2 linked regions of the Schizosaccharomyces pombe genome follow. Changing the gene in region 2 together with the main gene of any one other region gives a genetic interaction. Each region holds a gene or a part of one and is shown on either strand. Other genes may lie near its edges.

Evidence for each region. Genes that interact genetically often act in the same process or in processes that back each other up.
Region 1: mutations in hrp3 (region 2) and rhn1 together harm fitness more than expected from each alone (negative genetic interaction), as found in Schizosaccharomyces pombe (2 studies listed by BioGRID).

Annotation. Positions count from the first base shown.
Region 1 is NC_003423.3:1,033,522-1,037,278, forward strand, and holds rhn1 (RNA polymerase II transcription termination factor), read left to right. Parts: upstream 1-2,000; 5' UTR 2,001-2,016; coding exon 2,017-2,164; exon of another isoform or gene 2,165-2,212; coding exon 2,213-2,313; exon of another isoform or gene 2,314-2,381; coding exon 2,382-2,576; intron 2,577-2,623; coding exon 2,624-3,343; downstream 3,344-3,757. Other genes in the region: serine/threonine protein kinase Ppk27, read left to right, coding at 3,556-3,757.
Region 2 is NC_003424.3:5,375,770-5,379,526, reverse strand, and holds the start of hrp3 (CHD family chromatin remodeller Hrp3), read right to left. Parts: upstream 1,704-3,757; 5' UTR 1,601-1,703; exon of another isoform or gene 1,112-1,600; intron 1,106-1,111; 5' UTR 1,101-1,105; coding exon 909-1,100; intron 852-908; coding exon 1-851. Other genes in the region: U1 snRNP-associated protein Prp40, read right to left, coding at 1,828-3,757.

The DNA of each region.
Region 1 (3,757 bases), on a different chromosome or scaffold from region 2:
CTTCAGAAATTTCCCTTTCAATCGCTAACTTTTTCCATCCTTGTAGCCTTTCATTGCATTCAATTTCATATTTCATTTTACGATCTCATTCCTCAATATATTTTTTTCAAGTGCTTCTCTTTTGTTTTCGTCAATTTCTAACAATGTAGAATCTACAGATCTCTCGTATCTTTCAATGAAAATTTTTAAATCTTCCGCAGAATCATTTGGTGGTGGCAGATTGTAGTCATTATCAAAATTCTCGTTCGACATCATCCTTATTATTTATACAAAACCAGTTGCAATAAACCGCAGTATTCTTTTTAACGATAAAATTTCAATTCACTATAACTATACAAATGATATCTTTTGTAGCCTGCCTTATATGTTTACTAATTGACAAATATTTCTCAGAAAGGGAAATCTTGGAAAATAAAAGTACAAACGTGTGTTGAAAGCAATATTTAATATATGTGTTGTAAGTAAATTCAAATCTCTCAAGTTCCCCTTATATACAACTTTAAACAAAGAATGCTAAGGACAAAGAAAAGAGTTTTTGATGGATTAAGAAACAAGGTAACCTAAGTAACTTCACACTGGGAGTACGTGATACAGATAATGAAAATGGGCTTTATCTGTAAAATAAAAGAAAAATGGCTTATTTGCAGGTAACTTATTACAAAGTTAGATTTATTGAATAGAGGAGTATTTGTTTAAAAACAAACTTCGATTGCAAACATGCATAACAAAGTTAATAGAAAAACATTTCTTTATCCTGCTTTATTGTATTCCTCTTAAGGGATTCTCAACAGCTCTAAATAATCACGAAATATTTAAAGAAAAGGTATATTACTCATTCAAGCTATTAATTGTAAATAATATAACCCATAGCTACAACAAATGCGTTAAGAGGATATAATGTTAGCTACGCAAGTATTTAATTTAACGATACGTAGAACTACGGTGTTTTCCTAGTGATCTATTATATTGTAATTCGCAAGTAATATATAAGTAGCAATTGAGATTGGTATTCTAATATATGGGTTATATTGTTGAATAGATGAATGAGCAAATACAAGACTTGAAAAGTCCTTCAATGATATATTTCTGGTATAGAGTGTTGGCGAAACGACATGAATTCTGAGTTTGACGCTACGCAGAATGAGATTGCATCCATTAAGTTGAAATAACTACTATGAAAGGTGAAATGACTATCATTGGCAGAAAATGAACATTAGTTTTATACGTTGACATTCTTACGGCACTTTTTATTTACAATTTTGCTTACTACTAGTCATCCCGTTTTAACTTTGTTCTTAGGAGTTAATTTATTTTACTTTATTCATTTATTTTTTTATTTTTTTTGAAACTCGTATTATCGTTCAATTTCAGAACATCTTTACTGCTTTGCCTGCCCGGTTGACAAATAAATACGATTTCAAACGAACAATTAGTTTATTATATAATTTTTTACGTAAGTATATGCCATAGTTTATAGTAATACAAGGGAAGCAAAAACAAAGTCTCAATGCGGTGAGTAGTATATAGTAATTCCTGCTTCAGACAAGTCATTAAAACACACATTTGCACTCCGTACACATTTCTCAACACGCCGAATAGTTTCTTTTCATAATCCCCAACATATAACATCACAAGATTTCGTCTAGCATTCTTACCAAAACTCGTACTGTAAATGTTACAGTGAGTGATAGCCGTTAGCTAAGATGACCTGCTGAGACTAAACAAAATCATGAGAAAACGAATAATGTATTTTATATACCTAATATTTAAGAGGGAATCTTGGAGAAAACTGGGTAGTTTGAGAATAATAAATGTTCTTTTCCATCTTTACAAATGAGACGAAGATTTTTGCTCTACCCAAACTAATTAATCTGTTGTTTCAAAATCATTTTAAGTATAGGCTATAATGTAAAACATTGATATTATACAAGAAGTATTTATTACTTATGCTTATGATTTCGTTTGCGATGCTAACAGCAGTGTGTCGTAAGAAACTCACCATCAGCATAAAACAAGATGGCTTTGACTCCAGACACTGTTTCTTCAAAGTTGGCTACTCTAAATGAAACACAAGAAAGTATAACGGGAATAGCGCATTGGGTTATGTTTCACAAGCGTTATGCTGATGAAATTGTCCAAATATGGCTGGAAGCTTTGTATGAATGTATGACTCCTTTAGGAATTTGTTCGATTGTCTAACTAATTTAACCAGCTTCTTCCAACAAAAAGCTTTTATTGCTTTACCTGCTCAACGAAGTCGTTCAACAATCCCGGGTCAAAAAAATATCTGAATATATTGATGCCGTTTCTCCAGTAAGTTACTATCATTATGAGCTTGGAACATCTCCTATATGGTTTAGATTCTAATAATATTTGCATAGTATGTCGTAAACTCTGTAGCTGACGCGTACGCGTCAGTTCCTGCTTCCATTAAAACAAAAATCAAATACGTTTTTGACGTTTGGTGTCAACGCGGCATATTTTCTAAGGAGATACTTTTATCCTTGCAGGAAAGGTTTAATAATGCCGAGAACAGTGGCCATTCTAACTATTACCCCGTTGGCCCTCCGGAATGGGTATGCCGCAATTCAAATAAAATATCAGAACTTTACTAATTGCATAGGCACCTTACACTCGTTTAATGACACAAACTAGTTTATACGCAAAATCTGCTCACTCTACCAAAACTGTGGTAGATGCATTGTATAAATCATACTTGGAGAAACAATCAGATTATTCTGAACTACTCGATAATTATAAAAAGCAACTAAATAAAGCCTCTGAATCATGTAAAGGTAATTATCAGGCTTGCATCGAATCCCGATCCACACTCATTACTTCCTTGGAATCGCTTATAGAAGAACAAAAAAAGCTACTTTCAGAGGAAGAAGAGAGCCTAAAATCTGTTGAATCCATAATTTCTAATTTAGAGAATAAGGAAAGTACAACAGCTACCTCTACCTTGACCGATGCAGGTTTTGGAGATAAAAGTTCTACTGCTGGCAAACATAATGTAGAAACAACATCACCTCCGTCTAGTTCTCCAAACAGTGATGATGCTTATTCTCCTCAAGTAGATTCTTACTCTCCAAGCATTAACAGCGTACCATATACTTCCAATATTGTCGAAAATCCATCTGAAGACAATCTCTCTCCTCTTCCTCCTCCTGCCAGTGGACCCTATTCCCAAGAAGAAGAAGAAACATCATTATTTAAAAGCCAGAGAAAAGAAGAAAATGAAGAGGAATCTAAAGAATTACCAGAAGACTCAGATATCTATGGAAAAGATAGTTCTCCCTCTTCGGACGACTCTAGTGCAGCTGGTCTATATGGTGATAGCTGAAATCCATGAAATGTAATGCTTAGTTTTCATTATTTTTCTTTTTTTTTTTAAACTGTCAATCAATGTGGCAGTCTTAGTCAATAAGCATTTTTAGAATACCTATCCTAACCTTTTATATGCGTCAGTACCTGACTTCATCCTATCGAAGCCGTTTTTGGAATTTTGTATATTTCGAAGAAAGTTGAGCCCTATCTAGGAAGAATGGGCTTTTAATGTCTGAAAAAAAACATTCTTGCGAAGAAAAATCGCTGCAACTATATCCTCTTTCAAATAAAATTCGTCATGTAAATCCGAATATTTCAGCTCTTCCGTCTGAGACTGATATATCTGAATCATTGACGAACGATTTAACTAAACTAGAAATTTCTAACTATGCTCCATTTAATAGAGATTTAGAGACTTTTTCCGATTTAA
Region 2 (3,757 bases):
GATGGACTAAGAGCACTTTCTTCTCTTTCTTGAAATGCCTGAATTTCCGTGGCAGCAATAGGCTCAATAATTGAGGAAGCTTCCCATGTGCAAAAATCATATAACAGCTGCTTCCATTTCACTAAGTATTCAACTGAGCCATCGGAGTTTAAGTGTTTGGCAACAATTCTGTCTACCTGCTTATATTCCTCGTAATTTTCACGCTTTCTCTCTTTTTCAATATCCATTGCTTCAATGTCTTCACGCGTAGTGGTCGGATCTTCTCGAATTTCTCGATCAAGAAGTATGACTTGCTTAATGTGATTGTCGACCTTTTTAGATCCTCTGATCATAGAAATGTTATTGTAAGGTTCCCATGTACAATGAAGATGAGAAAAATTAACCCATTTAATTAAAAACTCATAATCTTCAGAAGGTGTAGAGCCATCGTGTCCTTCAATAAGTCTATGATCTAAAACGACATCTATAGCTCGTGTATCTTCAGGTTCTTCAGAAACTTCAGTTGCGTACTCATACATCTCTTCTTCCTCTTCTTCTTCAAACGATTCAAAATACGCGTCTTCGTTATAGTTAACACCTTTACTATTTCTAGAAGAAAATCGAATTTCATCTTGAACGTAGGTGTTTGATTTTTTTTGCCGAGATCGCTTTTTGGGAGTTCCGCCATAAGAACTATCATCTGACTCACTTTCCTCAGAGGTGACAGATTCAGCTTCATCGTCTAAATCGCGAATTGTTCGATGACGAGAAAAAGATGAACCATTTCTAGTACCTTTACGATGCTTGGATGGGAACACATCTTCTTGATCATCAGTGTCTACATATCTTCCTGGATTACTACGAGTGCGACCCTATAATGATTAGCATCTAAGTAAGTTTCATAATGAATAAAATAATGTGAGACATACAGAACGTCGAAGACCGTAAAGCTCTGGGTCGAGCCATTCAGTAGATTGTAATTTGCGCTTGGAGGCTACGCCGCTATTCGAAGGGGATTCGGACATTTCCTGCTTAAGATTAGGGGTTTCAGTTTGAACGTGATCCAGCTGCTCAATAGCCTTAGATGATGACAAAGCAAGTGCTATAGCACTTGTACTCATATCAACTAAAACAGAAGTTAGAACCAATTTCGCAAATTTCTTATTGCAAAACTTTTCCGAAATTGAAATGCTGAATAATTGTGAAATATGTAATAGGCTTCCATCCAACTTCTAGTTAACTGAGAACTGCCAGATGCCACTTTAAATGTGAATATTTATAACTCTTGACTAACGACTATATTTAGACGAGATCCGAACAGATTTAAATAAAGAACACATATTAACTCCCGTATCTTTTCGATAGGAAGCACTATATCGTTCATTTTCGAAGAAAGAGCAATTTTGAATAAAAGGTCGAATGCCACCAAAAAGATTGTATCACAAGAGAAACAAGCAAAACATAATAAGAAAGAAGGTTTTTAAAAAAAGAGAGCTACATTCAGTGCATTGAACAATGTAGGTTTAACAAAAAAATGCGACACGTGGATCATTCACATATTCAGCGTCAAATTCGGAAAACGAACTGTGGCTGCAACAAAATTTAATAAAAATTTACTTACGCGTTATTAAATAGAACGCTTATAGCAGTATTTTGCTATTTTAATAGCAACTTGCTAGTTTTGTTACAAAAACAATTTTTGAGGTACTGGTGGTAGAGGTTCAAATAGCTACAGGCTGTATCCGCTACTAAAGGTAATCAAACTGTATGAATACAAAAAGCGAGTTGAGAGAACATTAAAATGCATGTGTATTAAACGCACTAACAATTAAATTTCTAACTTGAATACTAACGAATTTCACCTTCTTCACTAGATTCTGCATCATCAACAATATTTTTAACAGCCGGTTGTGTAGCGGTAACATGAGAGATTGAATTTTCCTGTACATCCTGCATCGTATTAATTTCATTCCTATTACTTTTTGACGCTAAGTCAGCAGAATATTCCAACCTTCCATCTTCGTATCCGCTATGTGGTCGGGCACTATTCGCTAAATAACTTTCATCTTTACCGACATCATAATAACCTCTTCTGTTTTGGTATTGCTTTTCCAATTCCCGTTTTTCTCGAAGCCGTCTTATATATTTGTCAAAAGCAGCCATCCTGTGTTCCTCGGAATGGAGCGCAGCAAATTCCGGTAGAATAGAAATTAAAGGTCTAATTTCATCGTAAGAAGCATCGGCAGAAATTGGAGGTTTAAGGTATTTAATGGCACTTCTGAGATTATCAATTTTCCTTCGAATGCGTCGTTCATCAGCACGCTTTTCCTCAGCTTTTTTGTGGATCGCTTTATCACGTAATCGATTAACAACTTCTTCAATAAGGTCTTCAGTTACTGCCTCACTTTCCTCTCGATCTTTAAGCTTTTCTGATAACCTTGCTATAATTTCAGGAATATTAGATGTGTCATCCACAGATATTTGCAATACTTCAAGACAGTCCAAAACCAAATTACGCTTTTCCCGATACATATTCTCCAAATCAACGATCGTATCCCAAAATAAATCTAATGGTGTAGAGCCAGATTGCCCTAGTAAGTTAAGATATCTTGGATCATCCTTGATTATGGGATATAATTCTTTCCACTTCGTGCGTAATGTAATCTTCTTTTGCACGCGTAAGTCTTGTAATAGCGCACGAAAGGCATCACGATTTTTCCTTTCTATACGATGCTTTTCTTTCTTCTGCTTTTGTTTGTCAAGAATATATTCGCGTTCCAAATGCTTAACATGATCTTCAAATGCTACAAGAGCATCTAATTTAGAAAGATATTTCATATTTGAATTCCTTGTATACCTTGGATCTTGATCAAATTTTGCTTGCGCAACGCTCCAGCGGGTGTAAGGCTCGAAATTCATGTTTCGCAAAAGCGAACAAAAATCATCCAATGCTTCCTTTCTGCGATCCTTTTCCAACTGCTTTTCATCCTCTAAAAGCTTTTGCTTATATTCAAAAAATAGTTGTTGTTGTTCAGTTTCAGAAGAAGTAGCGTTAAAAGCAGGATGAGAAGAAAATTCATTCTTCACAGTACGCCACAAAGTATAAGAATGAATTTTATCACTACTTTTTAGCATCTCAATAAACTCCTTCCTAATCTTAGTTACTCGGTTCTTTTCTGCATCACTTTGATCGGTCAAATAGTTTAAGATGTACGCATCGAAAGCACATTTCCGATGCCAAGGATCCTTCATGACATAATAGCCCTTAGCATCACAAAGCTCTCGGACAGTCTGCTCCCAAGTCCAGCTTGGGTTGACATTATGAGAGTCTAAAAATTTAAAGAAAGCGCGCTCTGCGGCTTCATAGGTATCATAGTTTTCGTGCTGATAATCATTAGAACGTTTTTGGCGCTTATCCTTTTGTTGAACAAAGTTTATAGTTCGTTTATGACTGCCTTGTGAAATTTGTTGGCTTTGATCTTTAGCTGGTTGACTTGAAGGAGCAGCAACATCCGGACCATGCCGTTGAATGCTTTGAACAGCTGGCTTGTTGTCATTGCTTTTGATTTTAGACGACAAAGCCTTTTTTTGCTGTTCCGGTTCATCAACAAGGGCAGCTTTATATTCATCAGGAATATCCCACACTGATTCACGGGTATTGACATTATACCAATACTTTTTGCCATCAGCGGTGGCATATTCTTTCCAAGCTAGTTTCGAAAGCTTTTTTTCAAAGTCATTCATTAACTCCTCTGGTTTTTCCCAAACACTTTTGCGC